Linked DNA regions of Drosophila melanogaster. The protein of the gene in region 3 interacts with the protein of the main gene of each other region in a pairwise test. Each region holds a gene or a part of one and is shown on either strand. Other genes may lie near its edges. The genes, in order: pdm2, vvl, D and vnd.

Region 1 (6,521 bases), on a different chromosome or scaffold from region 3:
TGTTAAAATGAGCGGTGGAGTATAATATATACATTTTAGATTTCTTAAGTGCTACAATTAATAGAATAAATGAAGATATTTAGCTCTTAATAACGTGTACCATCTCCTAAAGGCTTTGGCAACTCGTAAAAAACATTTACAACATTTTCATAATTTAAGAATACCTATGCATTTGCTTATAATATGGCCTTATAATATATGGCCATTCCGATGAGAAAAAGGTCAACTCACCTGAATTGGCTGGTGCTTGCTGGTGGTTCATGGGATGGCAGCTAGGCCTCTCTGGCGGCGACTCCATGAATTCCTGCTTGACTTGTATCTGCGGCAGGCGTAGCAATCCCTCAAAAGCCCGCTCGCTGGTGGGTGGAACTGGTGGGCAGTTGTCTTTAGGGTTAAAGCCATTCAAATGGCCAACGTTAGCGGCATAATTAGCCGGCAGTTGCAGTTGATCGTCGTTCAGAGTGGCTGAAACGCCTTGGCCAGTAATTTGAACATTAACACCTGCTGCCGATGTTGCAGCAGCAAGGCAATGAGTTGCTGCTGTCGGCGAAGTCAGCAACATGGTTGCTGTTGCTGCTGCTGCTGCAGTTGCGGCTGCTTTTGCTGTTGCTGCTGCTGCTGCTGTCTCTGTTGCTGTTGTGCTCAAGTGTTGATGATGGGAATTGTTGGCAAGTGTTGTTGCCAGCAGTAATGGCATAGTTGTTGCTGCTGCTGCTGATGCTGCTGCTCTTGTTGCCGCTGTTGCGTTGCAGTTCGTCAGCAGCAAATTGCGTCGCTTTGATTTATGGCCAACTCAACTGCTCCTTGCTGCCTGTGGCGACTTGTTTGCCGCTCCGGTTGCTGCCTCAGATTATGATATTGACCCATGGACCGCTGGCGATATGTATTCCTCCTTCTGCCTCCTTTGCTGCCTGCAAATGGGTTGATAATTAAAAGTGTCTTCTTCGGCTGAAAGCCTAATTTGCTGTTAACTGCACTTTAAAAAGCTGTTATTAAATACATAGAGCGCTGTGATCTTTACGACTCGATAGCGGAAGTAATTGATTTTTCCCTTAAAATAACTGACCCATCCACATTCCTGTACACGTGACTTTTCACGTTACAGGTGGAAACAGTGGATTTGTTTGAAATCGAACGGATGTTTGTATACCTTATAACTGAGATTAATTAGTTTAGTTTATTAACTGGCTCATGAGTATATTGCATTGTCAGCCCATTCTGCGATTACAAGTTTGTATTTTGATAAAAAAATATATAAGGGTAAAAGTTTAAAAGTTAATATTCTCTTCTAAAAGGTAAATGTAAAGTAAGTTACTGATTAGAAGTTTTACTGTACCTAGCATTGAATGAAAATGTTAATATGTGAGAAACTATATCATTCAGTTAAATAATTACAGAAATTCCATACCACTCGAAAGTAAACATGTCATAAAAGTACATATCGCAATTTATATAGTTTAAATGTTTGCTCTTTTAAATTCGTTTATTGAGCAGTCCAAACATTTCTCTAAATTTTCCCATGGCCTGTCGAATCAGCTCCCACAAGTGAAAAGTGGTTGTATACAACTTTACAGCAGTAGACACCATAAAAGGCACTAAAACCTAAACTTTGTATTATTATGCAAACAAAAAATGGGAGAATGAAAATGGGCACATTTACCAAATGTGGTTTGAAACGAAATTGTTGTAAATTGAAAACAAATTGAAGTCAAATGAGATAAGGAGTGGGTGGGTGGGTGTCGAAAAATCACGGCAAAAGGCGATGAAATCAAAGGAAATAGAAATGGGAAATTAAACTACAAGCGCAACGATCAAATGCCCCGAACAACAAGTCAACTTGGCCAGATAAGATACGGTGCTGAAAAGTGCAAGTGCGTTTATGGAAATGGTTATTTACATACATTACCAAACGGGTTTATGTACATATGAGCCACGAAGAGGCGGGTCGGGGCAACTAACATTAATGGCACTTGTAAACAAATCAATTGAGTTGTCAGTATCGACGGCAAATTGGCCGCAACCAAAGTGCCACACGAAGATTGTTTATCAATTTTGCCAGTCGGTAAATTATGTTCTTTGCATGTCAGCAACCAATTGCCAGGAATCGATATATCTGCCGGTATGATCAAAGCGAACGCCGACTAAATGCAGTCACTTATTCCTCGGTGCTACTTTCAATAATTCCCAATCGGCACGGTAATTCCTTATTGGGCCGACAATATCGGGGCTTTCGCTATTTTTGTTTAACTTCATCTTGTTTTAAAATTAAACACAATTGCTTACTCCAATTGGAAACGTATCGCCGATCATATAATACCGAACATTGCCATTGTGTTTGTCTTCAATTTGGAATTTGTGTTTTCATAATTTTCTATTGGGTGTACACGGTTCGGTTGTAAAGATACGAGGGAACTTAGTTCGATGATGTGATTTGCCTGACTTTCGGTTGAGAAATTGTTTGTCGTGATTATCGATCGAATCATTGCCAGAAGTGGAATTGTAAAAAACCCATAAAAATATATATGTGGCACATCTAAGATAGGGTACACAAATCACAGAAGGTTTATGAAAAATATATGGAATGGAACAAATTTAGAAAAAGTTATTAAACTATCCTTTAAATCAAATACTATATTCAATATATATATATATATATTGCCTCATTTTGAAGATAATTGCTTGTTATTAATACATTTTGCATCTTAATTTGATCTAACCTTAAGATTTTCCATTGTTAAAGATTTGACCAGAACATGGTCACAATTTTGTTATGATTAGCTAAAGCCCGACCAAGATCTCTATGATGGATTCAGTTCGCCCGTCCAACTACCATAGTCAGCCATATCGGGACACTTGTTGGCCCTCAAACACATATGGCCAATTAAGGACGCTGAAATACGCGCAGACACTTGGGAAAGCTCATTAGGAATCTGACAGGCCAGAAGAAACAGTTCTGCCCTCTCTCTCTCTCTTGCGGCATCTGTATCATCCATCTGGCTGATCCATCGATCGCATTGAGTGTGGGCGTTACAAGACAAGCTCCTTGACACACTCAGTGGGTACAAAAGAAAAAAAAGAGTTAAACTCACTTGGGCTGGAAGATGGCGCACCTCCTTACTGGTTTTTCCTCTACTGGTTTTCGCCTGCTGTCACGAATTATAATTTAATTGTTTACTTTGCCACACTTTTATAAATTGTAATTGCCAACGAGAATGGCGACAGCTTCACGCCCTTTCTGCATTTTCTGTGGGCCGTCGAGGTGAGGTGAGGTGATCTCTGTCTTTTGGGACAATTCTCCGAGACACGCTTTTTGATTGACTTCCGACAAACGACTGACTTAAAAAAACGCGCAAGGAGATATGGGCAAAAAGTAAAAAGTGAAAAAAAAGCAGACTAAAGAAAAGAGAAAGAGCAAAAAGAAGCAAAGTTCGCGACGACTTCCGACGACGTCCGACGTATCCACAAAATGTCAAGCGAGTACAAAAAATACTTTTTTTTTATAGAAGATGTTGGAGAGAGTGAGTGAGTGTGAGTGTGCCAGTGTATTGGTCTGTTTGCGATGTGCCTCTGTGTGTGTGTGTGTGTCTGTGGGGGTGGGGAAAGGGAGCCATAAAACAGGTGGAGGGGGTGGTGCGTGGGTGTTTTGGGGCGTTTGACTTCGTTTTTCTTTCTCTTGCTTCTTTTTTTTTACAGGAGGTTTTAAAATGAAAAGCTTGTATTGTGTGGGTGGAAAATAGTACTGCATATGTGTGTGTGAGTGTTCTATATATGTATATATGGGTGGGTGGCTCTTATCGGATTCCGAATTATGTATGTATTGACTGCCGCTGCTTCTGTTCGTTGAGGGAAGAAATAATATGGGGGCTCCTAAGTTGATTTGTAGTTTAGAGCGGCATGAAAATTTCCTCTTGAAGGGAATTGAGAAGGAGAAGAGGAGTCAGGCTCATACGAGTAACCGAATAAGGGTATACAAGTAATTCAGTTTGCAAAATATAATAAAATATATTAAAATTCTTATTGATTCAAGTACTGTTTCTCATCATATGATTCATTATTTATTCGGCACAAGATACAAGATTTTTTGATTTTTTTATGGCCGCTTATATACCAAACCGTTTTCTTTCTTTTATAAAAATAATAAGTTTTATAAAATAAAACATATAATACTAAAGCAGATGATTTTATGGGCAAAACAGATTTAATTCCTTTCAAAATCAATGTTCCGACGGCATTGCACTTGCCAGAAATCACAACACAACTCGCGTTACGCATACGCCCCGTGGACAAGTCGGAATATCAGCGAATGAAAAATGAAAAAAATTGACATTGCAATGATGGCAGAACCGAGAATTATTCGCCGTGCTGTCAAAATGCGAATGTCAAGGCAAAAAACGAACCAAATGCAGACAGATAGCCAACAGAATCCGCTGAACGGCGGCAAAAGGCAAAAAGCGATAAACGCATAAATTAAAATAATTACAAGAGGCGTCCTCAGATTATTGTTGTTGCTGTCACGCACACACAGCTAGTTGAAAAAATAAACAAGAAAAGTCGCGAGGACGACAACCGACAATCGGCCAACGGAGTGGCAACTGAAAAACTGCAATTGAATGCAACTTGACCAGGCCAAAGCATCTAGAAGAAGAGCAGTACTAGCTGAATAAATGGAAGAAGAAGCACCACAAGCAACTGTAGTAACCATACACTTACAAAAATTATATAATATATATTCCAGTCATTTTCTATTGTACCATTTTAATATTTAACAGAAATAAACCTTAAATTCTATATTTTATCTTAACAAATATTCACAAACACGTCTTGGTATAACTTAATTTGGTTTTTATTGTTACTCTAAATAGAATATATTATAATTTATACATTTATATATAAAGGTTCTAAGCGTATTTTAAATACATTTCTTTTACAATTATAAGTAAATTTATAATGTTAATAGGCTTTTAATGAAATTGTATTATAACCAATATATAAAACTTTTCTAAGTGTAGAATCAGTTGATTTTTCTCGGCAACTTGGGATCCACATTGTTGCAACAACGTAGTTGTTGCCGCTGTTGTTGCTGTTGATTTTATTCAAAATGGTTTGTTTATGCCTGAACAGAAAGAGAACGCAAGAGAGAGAAAGTGCGGAGGGAGAGGTAGAAAATCTTGGGGAAATATATCCAACAAGCGCGCTCTCTCCCGCACAAACACACTCACCCAAAGTGGGCAGCCGGCAGCCAATCGGCATGGAGCTTTGGCGCTCTCTTGCGGCGCATGCTCGCTCTTCGTGGGGAGCTCTCTCCATTTCGCCGTTGGCCATTGTGTGTGCATGTGCGCGAATTCGCCGCGGCGTCCAGATGCTGCGGGTGAAAAAAAGAGAGCGAGAGGGCTTTTACCTTTTGACTGCTAATTTCCGTTCATTAAAGTTGGCAGTAGCTTGGCTCGCTCACTATTCTATATGTTCCACTCCCCCATGCCGCCCCCCCTCAGTAGTGAGTCCTTAAAGATATTTCGCCTTGGCCGCAGCTTTAATTTCATTGATTAGCGCCGAGGAAATTCCCTTCTTGGCCCTTTTATTTTTGGTTTGTCACTTCTATTCACTTGTCTGCCCGTCTGCTTGTGTTTTGGTTCCTCTGCAGCCTCCTTTACATCCTCTTTTCCACTATTCTTGTTTTGTAAGCATTTAAGTTGTCGCTGTTTCGAGATGCTTAAATCCAACTAATCGATGGGTTTCGTCTGAAAATGGTTTAGTTTGTGGGGGTAGGTTCTGAAGAGTATGACCCAACTATTCACGGAGTAACTATTTGGTAATCAAAAGATAGTTATGAAATAAAGAAGTTGGGGAAGAGTAAAACTGATGCGAGCGTACTTTTTGAAGATTTTACTTGCAGCACTTGTGTGTACAATAGGTGTACGTTCAAAAAACCTATATAAGGATAATTGGTAAATAATAAAAACTAAAAAATTCTTCTTATAAGCAGTAAAAATGTAATTTTCTTTATTGATATGAAAAAAATATTGTTTTTGTAGCTCTAATTCATATGTTCTCAGGTGTTTACTTGAATATTTAAAAAATGTTATTTTTACCATATGCAGAACCTAACTAACACGCTCGAAAAAGTAGACAACCACCTCTTGAACTGTGCCCTTAGTTCTTCCATTTGGTATTCCACATTCCGTATACGCCCCATAAAACTTGAAAAAATCGCCCAGCCCCAAAATTTCATCTGCCTTCCCTGGCTCATTTTTCATATTGAAGGGCGAGCACCTAAGGACCAACCAACAAAGCTAAGCTGACGGGTGCCTAAGTTATGGTTCCTGCCATATCATCCCCGCGTTCTGTGGAAACTTTTTAGAATTTTGCACTTTTCCTTTTTTTTTTGTGTCGTGTGCTCTTACATATCGCAAACATTTCCTGTCTCTTTTTATTTACATTACCCACCGAGGACGAGGCGACATAAAAGTTGAAAGTTTCCCATGATGTTTATGTGTATATAAATGCTTGCGGGCGGTATTTGT
Region 2 (8,810 bases), 7.4 Mb from region 3:
CAACCGATATTTTCGTTTTGTTTAAACGGCATTATTGCCGTCGCATAAATATAAATCATTGCACTTGCGCTTCTGTACAATATATATTATTGTTATTATTTGTTATTTGTTACTGTTATTGTTTTTGGGGCAGTTGTTGTTTATATATTTAAGCCTAAAACTGGCTTTCAATTATGCGAATTTATTTCGCACACAAAAGCGAGTGAGAGGGCTCGGGTTATACGAGTATGTATGTATATGTATTTTTCGGGCTGATGCAATTTTTATGCAGAATTACTAACCAATAGCATTTCGGCACAAAATTGTTAATCAGCATCCAATGAAATATGCATTTAAATTATAAATTAAATGTTAAAAGCGTGCGGTACATTAGATGACAATAAGGCGGCCAGGGGGCAATGTGCAGGTGGAATGAGACGACTTTAATGGTATTTCATGAATTTGTTTTTCATTTTTGGAAACAACTTAAATTGTTAAAAATTTAAGGACTTAAACATAATACTAATACCTTGACGAATTGGGAAGTTTTGAATGATTTCTGCAAACGAAAAATACACCCAACTTATTTCGTAAATTAAATTGACCGCGTAAATCTGGCAAATTGTCACTTTAATCGCCTTTCGATTGACGTCGGTGCTCTTTTTGTTTTGTTCAACGATTGCGCATTGACCAGGGACAAACAGAGATCCATCAGGTGCTTCCAGCAGCACTTAAGGCCTTATAAAAGGGTAATTTCACGAAATGCCACGCTTTTTAATGGCAACTTTCATTAACGAGCGGTATTACTCGATCTGCGAGTTGTGTTGTTAGTTAATTGCCAATTGCTCCCTCTCTGACGTAGGCAATCACATTATAATGTGCCCACTTAATTATTTAATGGCTTTTCGAACACTTTAAGCAAACAAACGAAATTAATAATACACGCAATTATCGCGATTTCATCGATATAAACGCCCTATCGTAACCAGCATCTGCAAAAGGTGGCCGTAAAACTCCTGTAAAACTGTCAAAACCAACGACTCATAAACTTCACAACCAAAAAGCGGACGAAAGTAAATGCAAATAAATGATGCCGCTAATTAAATAATAATAAAAGGACGGTGCGTTTTTTTTTCGAATAATATTCTTTTTTATTTGTTTTTTTTTAAGAGTTTTTTTTTGCTTTTCAGTTTTTTCTTCTTGGTTTTCCTCGGTGTGTGGGTGTGTGTATGTGTAGGTGGAAATGCACCGCTTTGTTGACTTTGCTGTTGCATATATATGTACGTCTATATAATTTATTATACAGTTGAGGGCATGGCTTAATCTTAAATATTCGGCTTCGCTTCTCTCGCTCTTACAGCATAGTTTTCAACATACCAAAACAAAGTACACTAAACAAAAATTTCGTTAGATTCTATAATATATAAAGTTACACCAAAGGATAAGGTTTGATTTTCTTTTTAGGTTTTTGTATAAGAAAATAGAAAAAGTAGACATAAATGTAAACGTATATCAAAAAACACAAAGATGATTTTTTTTACACAATTTTCGTTTATTTTTGTTTTTGAAATAATTTCAAGTTTGTCGTTTAGCATTTAGTTTGCCTTTTGTTTTAATGTACATCAATTAATATATTACAATTTAGCATTTGTGGTATTTGATTATTATTGGTTTGTTTAAATTTTAAGATTTAGCTATATTCATTTTTGTTTTCCATTCGATTTCCTTTTGCTTATATAGAAAGTACAGTACTAAGTAACTAAACTTCACGTGCCTATTCATTAAAAATTACCGCCTAAAAATTAAAATTTATATTTTGTAAATGTTGTTTATTTTTTTTTCGCTTGTGGTTGTATTTTTAATGATTTTTCTCTTAGGGGGGCTTATTAAAAAATCTACAATTGCATTTAAAGCTAAAAAATATGACTTAACTGTAAGTTTTTATTTACAGATGTTTTGGGGTTTTCTCATATTTTACTTAATCCTTCCTTCATCTCGTATTTTTGTTTACTTCGCCGCGCGTTAAATTCTACGTTTTTCTTTTTCTGTTTTACGTTCTGTTCGTTTATAGATGTTTTAGAGTACAATCTACTGGCTATATATATATAATATATATAAACACGGCTTGCTTAAGAACCTAGACCCTATCTAGAACCCACCGAGTTCTCCCACCGCTGCCTTCTTTCTCATTGAGCCTTTTTTTTACTTGATCTAAACGGCGACAAAGTGTTGAACGAAAAAATATTTTGTGGACTTTTGGGCATGGAAACATTTACCTTGCTTATGGAGAGCAGCTGAGGAATTTGTTTTCTTTGCTTGTCTTTTTTGGTTTCTTTAACACTTGGGTCGCACTTTTAACTAGTTTCTCTGTTTTTTTTATTTTCATTTAGTTTAATTTTTTAGCATTTAGTTTTTAGGTTAAAACAACATCACTTGGTTTCACGTTTGATTTGAATTGCGTGTTTCTTTCGCTTTTATACAAAGGAAATGTTTCGTTTACATTTTAATTTAGTTAATTTGATTTAATTTAAGCAAGTTTTTCAAACTTTAAAACAAACTAAAATGGTGGATGGCAGCCTCCCCATCTTCTCCACCTCCTCCACTCCCTGCTCCTATTTAAGCTGAAGTTTAACACAGATTAATGCACTGGTAAAAAAGATGATTTCTCAACCTCATCGACGGACCTCATCTTATTTCTATTCTTTAAAGATTTGCATACAGTCGAGCTTGTCTAACGTGGAACTCAATATGGTTCATATTGTTTAAGTATATATGTTTAAAATGATTTTTTTCAGTCGCCAATTTAGTAACAGATTTTAAGAACACTGTGAAATGCTATTTTCAAATTTTAAAAAACCTCAAAACACCGCAGAAATAAAATATTGAAAAATTTCAAAAATATTCTTATGACTTACGAAATATTCTGAAATGCTCACAGCTAGTTAAATTTTAGATAGCTACTTTTGCGATCATTCGAATCGAACCAACTGAGTTCGCGTTAGAGAAGTTCGACTGTACGATTCTAGGGCTGCTCCCGCTTGAAATGCGGCCACCCATTCGACGCCGAATCCTAGGAGGACTCATAGCCGAACCAGGCGGCCGACGAATGCTATTCGCCACCCGCTCCGCCCGCCCCGCCAAAGCTGTTAAAGTGCCGTACCGCTCCCGGTGCCGCCGCCGCTCCAAACTGCAGACTCAACTCGAAGAGTCGGCGGGCGTGGAGCTGCTGCTGCTGCTGCTGGTGGTGGTGGTGCTGCTGGTGATGGTGGTGCTGATAGTGGTGGTGCTGGTGCAGCGGATTCAGATTGAGATGGCCACCAAGCACCGAGGATGCGGATCCGGCCGGCGAGGCGGAACTGGGCGGCTGGAGTGGCAGGCCACTGTTGCTGCCGGCACCCGGTGACAATTGGGAGTTGCTGCTGGTGCCGCCGACGGTCTGCTGCTGCGAGTGCTGCAACTGATCGCTCGTGTGGAACAGGTGCGGATGGTGGGCGGGATTCAGGTGCGGATGCTGGTGCGGATGCGGATGCGGGTGGTGCGGATGCTGGTAGCGCATGGGATCCATGTACATGGCGGCTGCTGCAGCGGCTGCTATGCTGGATGCCTGCTGTTGTTGCTGTTGCTGCTGGTGGTGTTTAACTTGCTCCTCGTTGTTATTGTTATTATTGTTATTGTTGGTGCTGCTATTGTTGTTGTTATTATTATTATTATTGTTGTTAGCCTGATTGCCAGCGGAGGAGCTGCCCAGCGGACTCTGCGGCGACATCACCTGGCTGGTCATCGTAGCCGATGATCCCGCACTGGAGGATGGTGTATTCGGTGTGTGCTGCTGCTGCTGATGTTGCTGCTGTTGCTGGTGTTGCTGCTGCTGCTGTTGCTGCTGCTGCTGTTGCTGCTGGCTTAGACTATTGAGGGATGCAGGAGTGGACGCAGCTGCAGCTGAGTTCGACTCCTGGATTTCTGATTGCTAGTGGGCCGCCAACTGATGCGCCGCTACCGCCGAGGATTGCATATTCTGTGGGCTCAGCATGGGCGGACTGTGCGAGTGGGAGTGTGTGCCCATCGGACTGCCGTGCATATCGTGATGCGGATGATAGCCACCATGATGCATATGGCCCGGCGGCATGCCGTCCATCATGTCGCCGCCGAGCGTATTTGGCGGCGTCATGCGCTTCTCCTTCTGCCGCCGATTGCAGAACCACACGCGTACCACCTCCTTCTCCAGCTGCAAGGAGTCGGCCAACGAGGTTATCTCCTGGGCGGATGGCTTCGGCTGCTTGTGGAAGTGCTGCTCCAGTGCCCCCTTCACGCTCACCTCGATGCTGGTGCGTTTCTTGCGCTTACGCCCCTGAGCGGCGATCTTGTCAATGGACGTGGGTGAACCCGTTGTGGAGTCCGCCTCCTCCAGCCACTTCTGCAGCAGCGGCTTCAGCTTGCACATGTTCTTGAAGCTCAGCTGCAGTGCCTCGAATCTGCAGATGGTCGTCTGGGAGAACACATTGCCATAGAGAGTGCCCAGTGCCAGGCCCACATCGGCCTGGGTAAAGCCCAGCTTGATTCGGCGCTGCTTGAACTGCTTGGCAAAGGCCTCCAGATCATCGGACGTGGGAGTGTCCTCCTCGCCGCCGCTTATGGCATCCCGATCGCCGCCGCCCATGTGATGGTGTATGTGCAGCTGTGGCGATTCCCCGCGCAGCGTATGATGCAGTGGCGCCACACTCTGATGATGGGCCGCTGCAACCGCATGGGCCGGATGATGGAGCATTCCGTTCATGGCATGATGGTACTGCAACGGTGACCCGCCCGTTGGCGCATAGTGTCCCGCATGGGGGGCATGCCAGGCGGCATGGGGCGAGGCCATGCCCTGTTGGATGCGCGTCTGCTGCGAGAGATGCGACATCTCCTGCTTGACGGTATCAGCGGCCGAGGCAACGGCAGCGGCGGCGGGCAGATGGTGCGTATGATGGGTTTGCATCCACGGATCCGGATGGAGGGCACTCCATGAGCCCAACCCGGAACCGGAACCCAATCCAAGTCCGCCACCATTGCCCTGGCCATTGGGCGATGGCGACGAGGGCAACTGATGGTGGGCAGCTGCCGCGGCAGCGGCATGATGATGATGATGGTGCTGCATGTACTTCATTTCACCGGCATCAGCCGCCGAGCGCGGCGACGAGGTGTGATAGCCACCGCCTCCGAGGGCCATGTCCAGATCACCGCTCGGCGGCGTCATGTACGAGGTCGCGGCCATCCCCACCGCTCTGGGGCTGTTCAGGCCCTCCACGCTGGCGGGGTAGGGCTCCAAGTTGGGGCTCAGTTTAACGACTTTGTACACCGATCGATCGAAAGGAAGACCAGGGTCCCTATGCTCATTCCACTCGAACCGTGAGGCAACCGTCTTGACGTCTTTTACGGGCAACGTGGCAGGCGCAAAAATATTCTATTTCGCTTATTTTGTTTTTTTTTGGGTTCGACGTTTGCTTTTTTGGGGGCGTGGCCCTCGAACGCGTTCAACAAGTTTATTTCAGCTTTGGGTTAAGTAAAAAATCCGACGGCAATTTGCTTGGGGTTTCACGTTTATTTAGCTTGACTAGCGTTGAGCTAACTGCGTTTTATTTGGTTATTTATTTAGATTTTTTTATTTTCGAATTTCATTTAGCACTTCTAACACTTGGCACTTTTTGTGGCGATTTTTCGCAACGATTTAAATCATCGATAGAACTCAGTGGTCAGAACGCAGAACTCTGATATTCAGATACAGATTGAGATTTCTCGAATGTGTGTTTCTACTGGGTTGCTTGACCGATTCGATGCCGATTGAGATTTGAGATTGTGTGTTGTGAGATTTGAGCAGTCAAGACAGCCGAGAGCCCAGGGAAAATTCACGTGCAGACTCGTAGAGCTATCGAAGTGAACTAACGTCATGTCTCGCACCGCAGCTCTACGTTGAGCGCTCTCGACGCTCGGCGGTACGTCACACCGATACGTTTACGCACACCAACGAGCGCAGTACGCACACACACCCCGGCGAGCGAAACCAGTTTGTCCGCTGGCCTTCCAGCGTTCCATGTGTGCGAGCAGCACCGCCATTGGTGCGGCAAGCGAGATAGACGCTCTACCGAGCAACTGGAAGGGAGACTTGCGCTCTATTGGGCTCGCTGTATTCCAGCGTTACGCCCCCAAAACCAACAAAAACAAAAAAAATATATGAGATGAAAAAATAATACCAGAGCCGGCTCTACGAAGTTCCCTCAGTGCATTCCCATGCAGAGTGACATTTTTAATTGCCCAGTGCCCAGTGCGAGCGAGAGAGGGCGAGAGATGATATGAACGGCGACGGCGCATCTCTCGATTTCTTCGAGTCCAGCTATCGGGAACACAGGGATTACACGTAGTGCCATCTCCCAGTTGGAGCTTTTGCGTCCAGGACTTCTCTCTCCCGTTCGGGGAGCTTTGTTTCAGTTCCTTGCAGCTCCTTGGCCAGACAACTTTTCCCTTGGCTTTGTGAGTGTGTGTGTTTGTTTGGGAGGGGGGACATCTGGAGTGGTTGCCATTGCGATTTGAAGAACATATTACTAACGTGGCGTAGAAAAGGAATTAAACAAATAAACAGTTTAAATATTTAACTATTTATCGTTCATCCAAAAAAGTGTGCATAGTAAAAATATTTAAGAGCAAATAATATTTGATTATCAATATGAAAAATAAATAAATCTTGAACTTGAATTTGGACAATTCAAATTTCGCTGAATTCTGTTGAAAATATTTTTTATATAGACCGTGTCCCATTAAATATTTAACCAATGTGTTATATAAGAAAATCTTATTTGTATTTTTTCAGTTTATAATATGTGTGAGTGAAGCTTAATTAAATTAAAGAAAGTAAATTAGTGTTTAGTATGAAATGATATTTAAAATTTTCGTTTAAAAAAATAACCATTTTACCGATGAATATTTTATAATTTTCTTTTTCATATGCATATAAGTTTCGTTTGGCTGCCTACATAAAATATACCTTTCTTTTCCACCTTGATATCTTTCTTTTGCTCATTGTGTTTGTGACTGTGTTTTGACTGCTTTACAGTTAAATTATGTTTCACTGACAAAAGATATTGATTCACTTCATCCGTCAGTTTCATTGATTCTATGATCAGTTTTGCGAAATTAATGCGAAACTAGCGATACATTTGCATAGCTAAAGGAATTGCCATCGTTAAAGTTATCATTGGAATACTGACTTTTGTTTCTGGCTGTGCAGTTTTAAAGTTTTTTGATTTAGCGGAGCGTTATGGGACAATGCGAAGAATCAAATGAAAAATATCCGTAAAAGTTTATGTTTCCTAAAACAATGAATGAATGAAACTCTGCACACAATCAATGGAAATCTATTTCGCCTTCAAAGCCAATTGCCGTCAAATGTATATATGCAGACATAAAATAGCTTATTTAACCAAATTTACCTTTCTAAAAAAAAAATTACTTATTATTTTCCCACTATTTCCCTTAAATATGTCAACATATATTCAGAATTTTCCCACTTAAAAAATATATTTAATTAATGCATAAAATGTTCAAAGCTACCCTCTCATATATTTTCTCATTTAATAAATCCTGGCACACATAACTAGCCCAAGAATCCCATAAACACCCACCACAAAATACTTAGCATAGTTTTAGACCCCTTTGAGGCAGGTCAAGAGCTCAATCAAAAAATTATGCAAACTAAGGTCATCCAGCCGAGCAGACGCAAGCCAGACAAGTTCGAGCGTATTTGCATGAAATTTGTTTACGTTTTTTTTTCCATGACCATATCCTTTGGCCACGCACTTGGGCATAATTAATAAGCCAAGCGTTTCCAACCCAAAAACCCCAGTGACAAAATAAAGTCACAGTCATTGTTGGTCCTTAGACAAAAATTTACATGATAATTAGGTGGCGGCGCTAAATAACAACAGCGAGTGAGTAAAAAACAAAAAACAAAAAAAAAACGCTGGTATTTAAATTTCAAATGTCGAAGCGAAGGAAGAAATCCTGTTTCTGCTGGCCATCCTCCCTCGGTGATTCTGTCACTTTTTTCTGCTTTACGTTTTTTTGTCCATATGCTAAATGCGCACGCGCCGCGTTTTTGGTTTTTGTGGCCAGCAAAGGACTTGTTGCATAATTATGCGCCGCATGCGAGTAAATAAAAAACGATGCGATGGTAAAAAATGAGCAGGAAAATATACATATATATATACAACTAAGCGCTGCGTTTATGAATGGAAGATATCTCGTGGCGGCCGCGTCCACGGCGCCGTTGATTTGGATGATAATGAGCTCGATTAGCATTTCGGCTGCATTTTTATATGGCCATCTACCATCTACCCGTCTCCTTCTCCGGTCGGCTGTCTCTATCTCACACCTCGTTTTCGGGCCGCACTTGTTTATAATTATTAGCATAATTTTCTTTCTTATTTTGCATTAATTTGCCATCCCGACCGGCAAACGAGTGCGAGTGCGAGCGAGAGCCGAAAACCTCAACGTCTGCTTTGGTAATTAAAGTGCCATAATTTCCGAATCAAAACATATAAACTGGTCTGCTTTTGATCGCTTTGTTTATCGCGCAATACAATTAATGCACACTCGCTCACACACTCGATAAGTATGCGAATCTCTATATTTGTGGGGGGAAATAAAACACGTCGACTAATTTGTGGCAAATGCAAAGTAATTTTATCGGTTTAAGCTGTATTTAATGCATTTGAACAGGATTTTCGGCATGAAGAGCATTATTTTATTGCATATGCCACTCGGCACAGTGGGTGTATATCTTTAAGTGTTAGTCGTAACTC
Region 3 (6,691 bases):
AACAACAACCCAAACAGACAGCGCTAGAAGCATAAAAATCTCGCGACATTTCGCACACTCCTTTCTGCGGACCGGACGCTAATCCCCGGTCATAAAGTCGTAAAAAAATCGAAGCAACCGGGAGGCTGCAAATTATATTTGTATACAGACGTGACCAAATGGGACGAAAGGCGTGGCTTTTGGGAGTAGGAGGCGTAGGCGAGATGGGTCGTAAAACGTTCTCGACAATCCTTAAAAACCCAACGAGTTGAAATGGAATTTCAATTATTCGTGCATCATTTTTTTTGGATGAAATGTTTAAACTATGGATCAGGAAGGCGTGAGCGGGCTTATGTTTTAAGCTTGGCTTAGTCGGATGGATGGATTGGGCGTTTAGCGAAAGTTAATCACTTCCGTTTGGGTTCGGCAAAGGCAACATCCGATATTTGATCATAGATTGTTTTAATGGCTGATTATGGTTGTAACTAGTTTTATGATCAGAATGTTATGATGCGAAAAATGGCATAAAATTTAACTTGTAAGATTCAAAGTAGTTACGAAATATAATGTAATAAAGTAGAATAATAAAATACAATATGTTACTTCAGCAGCGCGAATTCTTGAGCCGCTATTATCTAAAGGATGTCAAATTAAAATGCAATTTTTAAAATGCGGATGCCGTTCTTTTAATTGATATTTATTATTTACAAAATCTGTAATAGTTTCTAGATTTGAAAAATAGTTATCCAATCAAAATACTATAAAAACCTCTTTCCTTACAATACAAATGTATTGTTGAACCCTTTGGAAGCCTTTACCGCTGTGCACACAAAGTAATGTTCCAAAGAGCTAAGCCAGAAGAATCCAATTTTTATATAATTATTCAATATCACGTCAATGCTGGGTAAATATTTGTTTGCAGAGCAAACGGAGAATGGAGAAACAAGGCATGGAAAAAAGACCAATATCAACAATACGCATAATAACAACAATAATCAATATTTGATATTTTAACACATTTGACATACAACGTGGAAAACGAAGGGGAGCGGGGCAGAGGGCATTGAATAGACTCCCAAAGACTTGAAAACGGCAATCGAAGAGTCAGAGTTCGGGGGAAGACAATGCAAGTGGATTTATTAATGACCGCAATTATTCTTATTATTATTACGAAAAGAAGCTAAAAATCAAAACGGAAAAACACGCGTTGATTTCTTTCGCCAGGGTATTCAGTTACACTCCGAATAGTGAGGTCTTAGAGGGCCCAGGCCCCCCGTTGATCCCGAAAAAAAAACACAATGTGACCCCCATCCAAAGAGCGAAGAGACGACCTTTTGTTCAAACTATCGAATTCTGTCTTGGAGGCGCAAAATAAACAGCGCATTAATCAATAGAAATTAATACACAACGGCAAATAGTTGTATAATGGCAAATCAAATTTAGTTTTTTCATCTCTTCCCAGCGGGTGTAAACTAACCAACAAAAACTCACACAGAAATGAGCGAAATAATAGTAAAGACACCCAGAGACAAGGTTAATTTGATCAGAAACGGGATAGGACTTTGATATTAAACGAATACTACTCACAAAACAGAAAAATTCATACCCATTATTAGGTGATGATGAAATGATTGTTTTTAAGCTTTATCCGAATGACTCACTCAATCCAGTTGAGAATATTATGTTAATGGTCTTATGAATATTCAAATTCGTTATTAATTTCGTTGATAATTTTGATGCATGCTCAGAGCACGACCCTGTATAATCTTAAAGGTTATGAAAAATACAGACACAAATTCGAATTTAAATATGATAATCCAATTATGGAGTATAAAATATAATCAGCTGAAAAATTTAAGTCACATATAGCTTGGGCATATGTTTAAAGTAAATTTATAACATAACTGTAAAATGTGGTATGCTGGCTAAGAAAATGGGAAATGCATTCTATTAAAGGCTTAAAATTATCTTTTTTGTTTTTCAGCTTTTTCCCGGTATATATATATATATGATAACTTCGTCTGATTCCAGTCACAACAACTCTACCTATGTCTTTAATGTGATTACATTTGGTAGAGAATCATCATCATTCATTTCAAAACCAATTGCCAGTTTCACATCTTCCAAGCTGTAAATTATTTGAAATAGAATAAACAGGTTTTCAAATTTGGTTTTCTCAAATCATTTTGTTTTTATTCACTTTTAAATGTCTTTGTTTTGTGTTGGCCTTCATGAACCATTATTCGCTTAGATGATAACTTTTACAATACAATTAATAATACAATAATACATTGATGTACGTTCTTTCCTCGCATTTGGGGCTACACTGAGACTTTAACGAATAGTTGCAGGGATATTTACAATTTGAGAGGGTTAGACAATTAAAACTATAAGCTACATTTTAGGTAGGTGCTGATGCGAAAAAAAACAACAAGAAGGAGGCGCTCGCTCGATGCTTAAAACTAAATAAAATTAATTTACAATTAGGTTTATCTTTTTTAATTTTCTTTGCGGTATAGTGAGTGCGCTAAATAAATTATAATTTATAGTTTGTGTATTGGCTAGGAATGTTTTGTGTGTTCCCTCCTTACTCTCTAGATCTGAAGTGCGCGAAGATTGTACTAGAATTAAGCGGAGTGGTTTGGAGGATTGGCTTACTTAGAGCTTTTGAAGATTTAAAACCAGTGGATCACTTTGGGAATGCGTCAACAATTGTACTCTACTCTGTACTCTAACCTAAAACTCGACTCTAATAGAGCACCGGAACCGGTCGCCTCAGGGCACTGTCCATGGAACCATCCATACCATTTGGCGTGATGGTTCCGGGCGAAGATCCCGGCGAGGAGGTGGACGAGGATGGGTAGAGTCCGGCGGCATTGGCGGAGTGTGCGGCGTACAGCGAAGGTGCCGAGATGCCGGAATAAATGCCCGAGTAGAAGCTGCTCAGCGAGGTGGGCGGCAATTGGGGCGGGGCTTGTCCTTGCTGCTGACCCTGATTGTTGACCGCCGCCGCCGCCGCTGCCTGGGATTGATGCAATTTCGATAGAGCCAGTGGGTCAAATCCACCGAAGTACGGCACTGGATAACCCTGATCCAGATGGTGTGAGGGTGCAAAGTATGGCGGTAGTTGATGGAATGGATTGTAGCCTCCGGCTCCAGCTCCCGGTCCAGCTCCCAACTTCTGTTGACCCATGCCGCCGGCCTGCATCTGCAGTCCACCCTGGGGTCCAGCGGTCAGTGGGTTCTTGGGCTTGCGGCGTGGCCGGTACTTGTAGTCCGGGTGCTCCTTCATGTGCAGGGCCCTCAAGCGCTTGGCCTCATCGATGAATGGTCGTTTCTCCGACTCGGCCAGCAACTTCCACTCGGCACCCAGGCGCTTGGAGATCTCAGAGTTGTGCATCTTGGGGTTATCCTTGGCGATCTGACGACGCTGCAGGCGGGACCAGACCATGAACGCGTTCATTGGACGCTTGATGTGACCCTCTTGTCCCGGCGATGTGGCCAAACTGTGCATGCCGGCGGACTGGTGACCCGAACTGGAGTTGAGACCACTGCCATTGCTGCCCAGGCTGCTCTGGCTACCCAGACTGCCGGCGGATCCGATGGAACTGTTGGGCGACAAGGTCTGTTGGGCGGAGACCGCCTGGTGCATGTGGTGCGGGGTCATGTGACTGGACATGTGGTGACCCATGCCCGAGGATCCGTTCACACCCTGGCCGGCGGGTCCATTGGGCGATCCGCCCATGGCTGCCAGGCTTTGGGAGTAGTGCAGCACACGCTTGATATCCATGTCCATGCCGGGACTCAGCTGGAGCTGACTTTGCGGTGCGTAGTCCTCCAAGCCTTGGGCCTGACCCAAATGGAAACCGTAATTGGGGTGTGTCGATAAGGTGGCCATTCCAGCTATTTTGAACACTTTGTTTAACTTTTGCTTCTTTCAAGATCAACACTTCACTTTCTAGAACACAATATGTCTGTGGTTCAACTGTGATTTCTCAGATTTTTTCTTTGTCTCTATGTCAATTACTGTCTTGCTTTTGCTTCTGCTTTGCTCTTGCTTTGCTTCTGCTCGGATCGACTGCTTTTTTGTGACTGATTTCAGTAGTGTTCCAGTGCGGCCTACACGACTGCAGCCAAATCCCGTTTCTCTCGGAAGAGAGTTGAGCACGAAGTGCGAGCAACCCTCGCACCATTACCTTTACGTAAGCCACGTGGGTGCGAGCGGGATAGAGGCTGGGCTTCTTACCTGGGAGAGAGCTGCGCCGTCGTCGCGCTCTCACTCACACATAGCGTCTTCTCTCTTTCGTTTTGCGGCCCATTGTTCCACTGGCTTTGTTCCATTGGCTCCTTTATATCGGTTATAGTTGTTCGCCCATTGAGGGGTGTGTTCAATAGAGGAGCTCAATAGAGCCAAAAGCCAGGCAGCTCTCGTTCGGCTGTGCTTCGTGTTATTCGATTTAGCGACCCCAATCCTGTGGGGCAGGGGGAGCTCAAAGTACGGAGCGAGAGAGAGAAAGAGAGCCAGGGCGAGCGCGGGAGCACATTGATTTTCGCACAGTGGGCACACAATTTCCGTTATTGTTTGCACGGCGGCGTTGCACTTCCGCATCTCCTATGCAGTTAGAACGAGAGAGGGAGAGAACACAACTCTCTCCCCGCGTATGTGTGTGCGTGTTTGTTGGGCCAATCACAATGGGTCTTTGGTGTGAATTTTTGTCCATTGTGGGTGTCTGTGTTCTGCTATATACCGTTCTCTATGTGTACTCTGTAGTCAGTACTATGTGTGTGTGTGAAAGGACTTTTTAGTTTGTGAAAAGGACATGGAAACACGCTTTCCATTCTCTTGCCCCGCTCTCCATTCTCGCATTCTTTCATTTCGCTCGCCATTCTTCTCCATTCTTTTCCGTTCCCTTTTTGCCACTTCTTCCTGGCCGCTCCAGAAAGGATATTACTGCAATTATTTACTTATTTGGCCATAGAAAGAAGCCCACAAAGGAGCCAGTGGAAGTGAGGCAAATCTTCACCCAGATGCATGTAGAACGGTCCTCTGTGCTTTATTATAGAAAAGATGTTTTAGCCAGCTTTTCTTTTTGGTTTACCAAATAAGCAGTAGCAAAAGAAAACAAACCTTTTAATGTTGATTGAAAGGACAAGGGCAATCGAATAATTGACAATTAAATCTACCGCAAACTAATGTTTTTTTCATTCGTAACTAAAAGAGTTTCCCAAATAATAATAATAAGTTTTCAAATTCTTGTTAACACACATATTTACCTCTCTTTCGAAACGAAGACATAATTTATGGCTTTTGTGATGCAAAGATTGTAAGAGTTTAACATTGCTTCATTAAACAACATCTTGACCCCAAGAGCCGTTGTTTTAATAAAAATGTTTCTTTCAGGAATAAGGTTGCAATATTCTATTATATTTTTTAAAACTCCATAACCCCAAAAGTAAAACCATTCTCCCCTTTGAGCTTTTATCCCACCCTTCTCTTTGCCTTTCTCCTGCTCATGCACGCACCCACACAACGATGCACCAAAGCTTAGTGCAATTTCCAATTGCATTTACAAAGCTCTTATACCTGGCCCATAGCGTAAGAGCATAAAAAGCTTTCAGCGTTCGCAACGTTTCCGTTGTGTCTGCTTTCCCCAAAAAAGGAAGAAAGGACAACGTAGAACGGCAACAACAACGAATCTCAAATAATAATGAAAGCAAAAACTGTTGTACGTTGTGTAATGGAAAAAGTTTTGTCCGCGTCACATTTTTCTTTCTGAGTTTTCAGCATTTCACTTAGCAGACGAGGACACTAAGTGAGTGATAATAGCACACAGTGTAGGATGAATGCAGGATCCTGTTTCCTAAAATCGCTCCCCACCCACATGCGGCATAAATAATTGTTACATTTGTGATACAATTTATGATGAATTCCTTATTTTATATAAATAAATATTCTTTTAGAATCCAGTTAAAATAAGTGTAAAGAGTAAAACAAATAAGGATAAACGTTTTAAATTATTAGCACATATACTCTTTATGTGTTTTGCTATCAAATTCAATAAATAAATAAGCTAGCTGATGCATTTTTAATTTCATTTTTGCGGAATAGTGACAATCAAAATTGTCTTAAGAATATTGTTCAAATTAGTGGAAGTTGTAAAATAATTCATGATAAACTTCTAATACTCGTAGTTGGATAAATAAACTCTAAATATGTTTTCTGTCTAATTTAATAATTACTTAAGCTAATAATAGATTTTCTTTCTTTGTTATGGTGCCGTGCAAACTGAAAAACATTTTATTTATCAGATATTTATCTGATAAAAATCTATCAGTATAAATACAGTATCAGAGTGCAGTTGAAAATTAAATAAATGTAAATTTAATTTGATCGCATAATGGCAGGTGAGAGATGAGTCAAGTTGTGCCGTGATTACTATTATTCGAATACAATATTAACCATTATCCTGTCGCCAGAAATCACCCTCACCGCTTAACCCATTCGAAATTCACCGATTCTCCGCGGTGAAAGAGAAAGACTCGCGTTTTATTGTTCGTTCCTGCATTGTTGTTGTTTTCGATTGTTGATTGTTGTTGTTTTCATTCAATTGTCATTTGGGGAGCTGGTTTCATTTTTATTTGTTGTATTCCGCAAATATAATTTTTGTCATTCATTCTTTTTTAATTAAATTCAGGAACAATCGCGCAAATG
Region 4 (9,319 bases), on a different chromosome or scaffold from region 3:
TGTCAAGTAGACACTTTTAAGTTGAAGAAAACATCTTGCTGTCTTTTCTCATAAACTCTATAGCTGTTTATGTATGTCAGCCGCAAATAGCCCTCTGCTGTCGGTGGACCTCCACCCATTGCAACGCAAATATATTGAAAATGTATTCACAAAAAAATAAAAATAAACTAGGCAGTGCCCAAATCCCTAAAGGCCGAGCAGGAGGACGACAAGGACGAGAGCTACAATTGAAGTTGTTTGTACTTAGAAATAAGCACAAACAAAGTAGTTTGAAGTGCGGAAAATACAGAAGCATGCATACAAAAATAAATAAATACACAAATAAAGGAGCAGAGGGCAATAAAAAACAAACGAGTTTTTGCGGGAATCGAATTGAATTCGTGTGTAATTCGAATGCCAGCGCTCCACACAAACACAGATAAATCCATGAGATACTAAAACTTCCTGCGGAAGCTAAGCCATAACAACAACGGCGACGCACACAAAGGTTTTACTTTGATATTAAATGCAACATCATTATTAAGCCCAATAACAATGGCCAACAACGAACGCCCGGGAAGATGGGCGTGCGCACATGGGAGAAATTTCCCCGAAAAGTCCTTTGGCGTAACCAAAATTTCCCAAACATGCGCGTCAGCGCACGGTGCGCACGGTATAACTCTCCTGCTCGCACGCTCTTCCCATTGGCCAGGCGGCCATGACGCGCCCACTTGACGGCGACGTCGTCGTCGGCAGAGGTTATTACAAGATAAAATTCTACCCCCTCCACTTACCACCTCCATTCCCCCATGGGGAGAATAATGGTGCGAAGTCATGAGCGACAGTGGGGTGCCCACTTTTAGAGGGCGGATGCTCGTGGATAGGGATCATGGAGCTTCCTTCATATACACAACATATATTTATATATATATATATATATATATATATATATATATATATGTATATGCATATTCTGATATATGTATATAGCCCCCAGCCCATATGTAAATGGGGCCAGCCCCAACGGACTCTTGCCATGTTTTCAATTGCCTCGGGCGGATACCCCCAGTTCAGTCTGTCCTGTCGTTTACTGCTCGTGCTGATTATGTATATTCCCATACTTTACTTTCGACCTCCTCGCTCGCACTCTCCCTATCTGTGAGTGTCCGGGGTGTGTCCCGAAGCCACCTCTCAAGGAACGGCGCCATGTATTGGCGTTTGAAGGATCTGCACTAATCACGAGTTGGCTTACGAGTATGAAATCGAAATTCAAATTGCACGAACAGCGACACTCCTTGTACATAAGGCCCCTATGTCAGTGCCAAAGTGGTCTATAACAGTTCCGTTGCACGCAAGAAATTTATTGCAATTCCCAAAGAACGTACCGTGAAGTAAACTAAATGTCCAAGTATAATAGCATACCACTAACACGGCAGAAGAAAATAATGCCTTCGCAAAAATAACGTTCTTTCACCGGTATGGTAATGTGAGAATGCCTTTAAAAGGGTTTTCGCAGTGCGCCTTTTAAGTATTAAAATAATAGTTCGTGGTTCAAAATAAGATTTCGTTGCTGACTAATATAAAATCACAAATATGTGATCAATCCTCCCCAGATCTAATCATGGTTGGTACTCAAAATCTCAAAGTATTACAACCCGACTGGGATTTTAAATGATGAATTGATCTGATTCTTAAATAGCCAACTACATATAGAAAAGGCGAGAGCGTAATTCCAGAAAATTTTTCTTATCGCCCTCGTTCCTCAATAGGATAATGGCTGATATCACCATCTGATATTATCGTGCTAAATGCCGGTCACAATCGCATGTCTTGCCCTGTCCTGTCCTCTCCTTGGACCCACCGCATAGGCGCCACAAGTCGGGGCTGATGTTCCCGCTCCGGAAGTCCAGAGTTGCAGAGAGCTGATAATGATAAATACAATTAAATGACGCGGGGAATGCTGACAACATCAAGTGCAGAGCACTGCTGGAAGAGAACGGCCCAATCCCAGAATCCCTATCTGGGAACGTCAATCCGACGTGCCTGAGGAGGTTCGTGAGGCGCTACAATGGCCTCGCATCCACACTCACTCTCGCGCACACACAAGCAAACATACACAGAGGCTGCAGCACACACACACTCTCACTCAAGTGGCACTCTTGAGAGCGGCAGAGAAAGCAACAGGAAAGAGTTAGAGCGGGATGACGTGCGGCATAAGGACTCGGTTCACATCGTACGTCTCGCTCTGGCGACGAATGGTGGTTGGTTCTCTCGGTGGTTGAATAGGCCACTCACATTGTTGCCGTATCCTTGTTGAAAAGGACATAAGAAGCCACTTAGCGCGCCCAACAAAGCCGAGAGTCTCTCCAGTCTGGCTGTGTGCGTGTGTGTGTTTGTGTATGTGTGTGTGTGTGTGCGACTATCCGAGTATCTGCGTTATGTACCCAATGGCAGAGGGATGCAGATACAGATATGCACCACATACATAGTGATACCCAAAGACACCCCGAGCATACGACCTGGTACTTTTCTGCCGTTGGTTGTTGGGTTTTGGTTATTGGCTGTTCTGAAGCGACTTGGACTCGTGTTGAGTTCTTGATGCCTCGTTAGTTGTTGATGACACTTCAGTTTGGAATGTGTAGAGTGCGCTGCTCCGCGGACCCGTGCAACTGAGAAATCGAGAAACGACTCGCGACCCTTGAACTATCGAACTTTCCCGGTGATAAACTTAAACTTAAGCCTAAATCGAACTATGTCTGGAATTTAAGTTGCCCTACCAGGATACCCGCTTAATTCATCGCAGTGCTACCCAGTAACTACACATAAACATATTTTTTTTCCGTGCTCCGAACACCGTAAAAGCTCCAAAGTGGCGGAGAAACGCAAAAGTCCGCCCACGCCGCCACCCGCGTCGCAGCGTAGTAAATCAAACAGTGGTTCCCCGATATCGCAAAGCGATATGACCACGTCGGCGTCCTTGGAGAGGACCCCCTCAAAGCGGGATCGAGATCGCGAGCGGGACAACAGCAGCGGTCTGGGCAGCGCTGGCAGCTTGCCCGCATCGCCCCAAAGCGCTATCACGGTGAGTCCGTCCTCCCCAGCCACGCCGAAGCGCCCGCTGCGCACCTCAACGCCCTCGCTGGAGCGGAAGAGGGAGCGTGAGGATCGAGAGGACCGGGAGGATCGCAAGGAGCGGCAGGAACGGCACGAGCGAGACAGAGATCACGAGAGATTCGCCGCAGTCTTCAGCACCGCCAGCACCACCGTGCCCACGAACACAAGTTCCAGTTCCGGATTGGCGCCCGAACAGCTCCGCATTCCGACGGGTGCAGCCGCCTTCAGCGGATTTCCGGGGCTCCACAGCATGAGTAGTCTTATGCTTCCATCGTCGGCGGCTGTGGCCGCCGCAGCAGCGGCCCCGTTTCTGCCCTGGTCGCCCATCCTGCTGCCGCCGTGGAACCACGCCCTCCTACCAGCCGCCTTTTATCCGGCGGCCCTGCGAAACGCTTTGCCTGGGTAAGCACAAGGATTCCAATGGAATAATTAAAACATTGATACCTCTGGAGTGGTGAACACAAACCTATGATTCATATGTCTTGGTTACGAAAAGCATATTTTGGTGATACGTTGACACAAGTCCATTCTAGTTCTTCTAATTATGACCTCTGTTTTGTGGGCTATTTATAAACGCTTAAGCATTGGTAACACTTTGATGGCATGGATCTGGCCAAGATATGGATAATAAGGACATGCCTCAGATTGAAACAAAATTACTGACCACCGACAATACGTTTGCCTTTCATGGCTGACCACTTTGTAAAAAACAGATATGGTTTTCAAGGTTTTGGGTTCCCGATTAATTTTCTATGTCTTTCTATTAATTCTCCTAATCTAATAATTTGGAAGATTGGGCGTTGAAAGCAGAATCTGCAGAATACGCAAGACCATTAATTAATTCTCCTAATCTAATAATTTGGAAGATTGGGCGTTGAAAGCAGAATCTGCAGAATACGCAAGACCAGCCATACTTTGCAATTGCCTTCGCCTAAGCTCCGACTTAAAATCACACCCTGCGAGCCTCTGCCTCCATATTAGTGTTTAGATCCCATATAGCTGATGGACTTGTCCGGCTAATCCTGGTAGCTCTTTAAATTAACCAAGCGGGCACAGCGCGCAAGTACAGGACACAGGGTATAATTCCCCGCCTCTTTGATCTGGCAAGTACTCAAGGTCCTGGCGAATGGCGGTTGGGAAATTCTGGCTTGTTGTTCGACCCTGGCTTAGAAATTCCCGTAGGTGAGAGCCAGGGAAACCCCAATCGGGAATGACATGTGTACGACAGACATGGGACTCAGATGCCTTCGAGATACTGGCGTCACACTGTCTGGCAATGGGATTTCCGCTCAGGAGGACGGGGAATGCCCGTGTAGCCTGTCCATAGCGTGGGAAATTCGCGAGTCGGGGTCTTCGGGAAAACTCGAAATGGGAAAACCGGAAGCAAGCAAACTTGCGCCAACATGTGGCACGACCTGTTTCGACCCGTAAAGAGTCCCTGCTGACCTGTGCTGACCTGCACTGACCCGACCAGGTAGCTGCGATCCTTACGAGGCGGATTTGCGTTTAATTGTTGATGGTATTAGGCAAATCAAAACTCGGGGTCTGACCGGGACTAGGTGTCAATAATCCAGCGATTTGGGTGCACTTATTCAAAGTTAATTCCGGGGGAAATGTGCGCGTTTTCGGTTCCGAAGCATGCCTGCAGGATGCACACCCCCCACCTCCTTATCTTCTTAACAACGGCAAGTGCAAAAATCTGTGAAAGTCAGAGCGCTACAGGTAGTGCAGGTAGTTTCCTTTGCATATCCCGACCAACAGGGACCTCCTTTTGTTAAACCTTCCGGCCATTCACACGATTGACACAGGATGTCGCTGCAATAAGCATGAAACAGGGAAAAATCGTTCCACGTCCTCTAAGGAGCCATCTTTATACTCGGGGAGTCATTAATCACTCGATTATATGACAATTTGCCGGGACAATTAAGAAACTACACAGAATCTCAAGAAAAACTATTACAACTCATCTTTGGTATGCTTTTTGCCTTTTTTTCTTTAAAACTGTAGGCGAGTGCTCAATTGAAATGAGAAATAAACATTTAACTCAAATTTTTAGTGTTGAAGTTCAGTTAGAATTAACATATTGATCTCCTTGCAGCTTATTCGATGCAAAGGTGCCGTCGTCCCAACGCTCTGGCTTCCATATATCGGACATCTTGAATTTGGAGGGCTCTGAGCTGAAGAATGCAGCAGCTGCCGCCGCTGCTGCCGCCCACCATGGCAGCGATTTGAGTCACCACTCGGCCAGTGAGTCCACCAGTGGACATCGCGGCCAGGGATCTCACACCTCGCCTTCGGCGCTGTCGCCCACGCCAGCGGGCGTTTCCGCGGACGAGCACCACAATGGCAGCGGGACTGGGGGAGGAGCGGGAGAAGCGGATCACCACAGCACCACCGAGCATCACGCCCCTCCTAGCCATCCGCAGCAACAGCACCCGCACCACCAGCAGCACCACCACCCTCACCTCCTCCTCCCGCAGCAGCACCATCAGCAGGCGGTGGCCCCACTCCCTTTGGCGCACCATCAGAGCGGCGAAGCCCAAAGCCACGCCCATGCCAATGCAGCCGCCGCCCATCTGCTGGCCAGCCACAATGCAGCGGCTGCGGCTGCTGTGGCCGCCGGCCAATATCTGCCCAACCTGCCCAAGAACTTCCCGGGGAGCTTTGGCGACGAGATGTCCTCGTACCACCACATGGCCCAAACCATGCTGCAGCACTCGGGCAGGAGTGCGTGGATCAAGGAGAACGAGCTATACGGTGAGCGAATGTTTCAACTCATAAATGGATACGCATGTATCCATTTTCATTTGCTCCATTTCCAGGAGATAGCTCCTGGCCATATCAATAACCAAGTTAGAGTTGGCTTTTTGAAGAAGCAACACTTAAATGGCAGGTTGTAAGCAAGTCTTTGGATCCCAAACAAATATCCTTTTGAATCGTGGGTAGGCAAAAGAGCAACGAATTAACTTGGTTTCAAAATAGACTCATCAATGAAGTCCGCAGGAAGCTCCCTTTAAGAAATTTACAATTTTCGACTGCATTTAACCCCCGATTAACTGGCCGACTAATGATACTGTTCCGTAACTAACCACTCACTGCTCCCGAGAGCCAGAGAGTTGAAGCAGTCGAGCGATGAGGCAGCTGTATTTGCATACCCTGTGGACTCGACGGATTCACGTGCTTCCAGGGTGTGACAAGCTTTGTTTAATTCTGGCCCTGTTGTGTTTTATTTTCGTTGGCAGTTAACTGCGGATCGAAATGGGTATATAACTGGGAATCAAGGAGCAGGGGTTGGGCTTCCCCTTTAATCATGACTAATAGTTTGTATGCGCTTCACACTTGAGGATTAGCCCTGTTGTTTTTCTGGCAGTTGACGTCCTTCGTGTCCTTCGGCCAGGACATTCAATCGCTGCCCGCTCGATCGCTTCTTGTTGTTGCGGCCCAAACATTTCTCATCCTGGAAATTTATGGCACGCACTTCCGCCTCATCCCTTCCCACTTCTGTTATTATTCCTTTATTGTTTAGCTACAAATTATAGCTGCTGCCCACTTGCCGTTTTTTTATTTTCTCTTTTCTGCTCTTTTTTTGGGAGTTTCCACAGCTGTGAAGGAGTCGAGGAAGAGTCATTTTGATTATATTAAGTTATTAATTTGTTGAGTTGTCATGGTGAGCGCATGGCTTCCGTGGCAGGGCAAATGCGGCTAGCTCGGTGGGAGCTGATAGGCGAGCATTAGGAGCTCCTACGACCCTTGCATTTGTTGTTTTATCAATGTCCCACGGGGACATCACCCCGGGCAGGTGAATACACACATTAGAAGACATTTTATGAAATACATTGCAATAGGAATAGAAATGCAGATAGGACGCGTTCCGATTCTTTGGAATGCTGCCTTCGCAGCACTATATCCAAAAGTTCGAAAGCTAGGAAGAACTAAAGGGCTTCTTTTTGATTTTCTATAGTTACATGCCTCGTTTGAAGTTGCCTGAATACTGGCATAAGCCCACTTCTAATACCTCTGCAACCGCAGATCCCGCCCCAGAATATCAGAAATAGCCACACCCGGCGATAAATCACTAAATCACTATCTGTTGGAAGTTCGGAACTCTTGCGAAAGGGGGCGAACCGGAAGAGACCCGGCTACCATTGATGTGTTTGAGGTCTGGCTTTTGTGTCGTTGTCCCATTAGTATCCTGGTTGCTGGTTTTTAGTACAGGCCCAGGATCAGCAGTCATTCAGCGAGAGATCGAAGCGATCGTTTCAGGTAGACGACAAGGGAATACCCACCTAGGCATGTATTTTTGTATGTATTTGTGTGCGATCTCTGTTTGTCTCCGCCTAATTGGCGTTGTTAGGGTGAAGCTCGTAGGGGATGGGCAGGGGTTGATTTGACGCTGCGGACCATAAGGAGTGCATACATCTGGCATTTGACATTTGGATCGTTTCCGACCACAGCTTCATGTTGCGCCTAATCCAATTGCCGTAGTTGCGATACTGACTTCCCCCTTTTGTCCCGAATTCTGCATGATCACTTGGACGATGTGGAGGGGTGTGTCGCTACATTAATTTACGGCTAAAGAGGTTTCTCAATTGCTGACAAATTCCCACCCAGGGCTCGCACCCTGCCATTGCCTTTCCATTCTGTAGGACCATTGTGAAAAATGCAAATAAATAAATGGCTATCCCAAGCAATTTATTCCTCAATTAGCAGCATATTAAGAAGGGAGTTTTCTCCCGGTTTTAGCCATATATCTACTACGAAGAATTAGCACATTAACCAAAACCTTGATTTCCTCTTTGATTTCAGGTACCCAGCAGCCCGCCAGTCCGGATAGCACCTCCCCAGTTACCTCGGAAGTGTCGTACACCTACATTGGTTCCAACTGCCAGACATCGCCTGCCCTTTCCGGCGATTACAAGAGCTACAGCCGGTCGGCCGATAGCGATGCACTATCCGTGGGCGACGCCCTGCACACCCTCCATGGATCCTCTGGTAATGGAAGTGCCGGAGGCGCTCCGACGGCCCATGCCCTACACAACAACAATAATAATACGACAAACAACAATAACCACAGCCTGAAGGCCGAGGGGATCAACGGAGCAGGCAGTGGTCACGACGATAGCCTCAACGAAGATGGCATCGAGGAGGATATCGACGACGTGGACGACGCCGACGGCAGTGGCGGCGGGGATGCAAATGGATCCGACGGTCTGCCAAATAAGAAACGGAAGCGACGAGTCCTGTTCACCAAGGCGCAAACATATGAGCTGGAACGTCGGTTTCGACAACAACGTTACTTGAGTGCCCCGGAACGCGAGCACCTGGCCAGTTTGATCCGCCTGACGCCGACCCAGGTGAAGATCTGGTTTCAAAACCATCGCTACAAGACGAAGCGGGCGCAAAACGAGAAGGGCTACGAGGGTCATCCTGGTCTACTGCACGGCCATGCCACCCATCCGCATCACCCCAGTGCCCTGCCATCGCCCCGTCGGGTAGCCGTTCCAGTTCTGGTGAGGAACGGAAAGCCCTGCTTGGGCGATAGTTCCAAACTGGGAGCCGACTGCGTCTCCGTGTCATCAGCCACCGCCACCGCCATGCAGAATGCCGCCGCCCATCACTTGGTTGCCCTAAATGGAGCGGCCGCCTATCAACATGCCGCTGCAGCGGCTGCCGGCCTTCACGCCCACGCCCATGCTCATGCCCACGCCCACGGACACGGCCATCCACACGCCCACGCCCAGAGGGCCGCCTGGTGGCCCTAATATTGCTAGGAACTGGCATTCACGGGACTGGGGGCGGATAGGTGGATAGTCAGGCCCGTGGAGCGATGAGCCAGAAGACCACGCCTCCAGATTCCCAGTGAAGCCAAGTAAAAGAATATACAATAATAATTGAAACACATACAAACCCCTACTAGCGCTCAGTCTCCCGGACTTATCCTTGAGTCGTTTCTGTACATAGTTCATATATATAATCATATATATACCTAAATGACATAAATTTATCCATTCCTGGATATCAGACCAATGCCCATGACAAAAGAAAGCTACATTTCCTTCTAAATAAAAATCAATTTGCATAATACTAGTGTCTCTTGTCAAGCGCATTTAAGTCGCATAAAATTTAGAAGTAGATTCATTTTTTTTATTTTTTTTTTTTAGCCCTAAGTCCAATCCCAAAGATAAAATGTGTAAATATAATATAAAAATGAAGTAAATCTGAAAAA

What was found.
Region 1: the proteins of D (region 3) and pdm2 interact in a two-hybrid assay, tested with the Drosophila melanogaster proteins (one study listed by BioGRID).
Region 2: the proteins of D (region 3) and vvl interact in a two-hybrid assay, tested with the Drosophila melanogaster proteins (one study listed by BioGRID).
Region 4: the proteins of D (region 3) and vnd interact in a two-hybrid assay, tested with the Drosophila melanogaster proteins (one study listed by BioGRID).

The regions. Positions count from the first base shown.
Region 1 is NT_033779.5:12,654,642-12,661,162, reverse strand, and holds the start of pdm2 (POU domain protein 2), read right to left. Parts: upstream 3,999-6,521; 5' UTR 3,090-3,998; intron 912-3,089; 5' UTR 698-911; coding exon 232-697; intron 1-231. UniProt on the Drosophila melanogaster protein: DNA-binding regulatory protein implicated in early development. Involved in neuronal cell fate decision. May act as an octamer-dependent activator of transcription.
Region 2 is NT_037436.4:6,787,246-6,796,055, reverse strand, and holds vvl (ventral veins lacking), read right to left. Parts: upstream 5,899-8,810; 5' UTR 5,231-5,898; coding exon 3,947-5,230; coding exon of another isoform or gene 3,002-3,946; 3' UTR 1,115-3,001; downstream 1-1,114. UniProt on the Drosophila melanogaster protein: Binds to a DNA sequence element required for the expression of the dopa decarboxylase gene (Ddc) in specific dopaminergic neurons. Could also play an early role in specific ectodermal cells, and a subsequent role in the embryonic nervous system.
Region 3 is NT_037436.4:14,173,462-14,180,152, forward strand, and holds D (dichaete), read right to left. Parts: upstream 5,160-6,691; 5' UTR 5,108-5,159; intron 5,032-5,107; 5' UTR 3,878-5,031; coding exon 2,729-3,877; 3' UTR 2,149-2,728; downstream 1-2,148. UniProt on the Drosophila melanogaster protein: Essential for segmentation and CNS development. May modulate the actions of other transcription factors, including gap and pair-rule proteins.
Region 4 is NC_004354.4:588,457-597,775, forward strand, and holds the start of vnd (ventral nervous system defective), read left to right. Parts: upstream 1-2,585; 5' UTR 2,586-2,938; coding exon 2,939-3,495; intron 3,496-5,191; coding exon 5,192-5,850; intron 5,851-7,899; coding exon 7,900-8,855; 3' UTR 8,856-9,319. UniProt on the Drosophila melanogaster protein: Probable transcriptional regulator involved in the regulation of the proneural AS-C genes and the neurogenic genes of the enhancer of split complex. Could specifically activate proneural genes in the ventral-most neuroectoderm.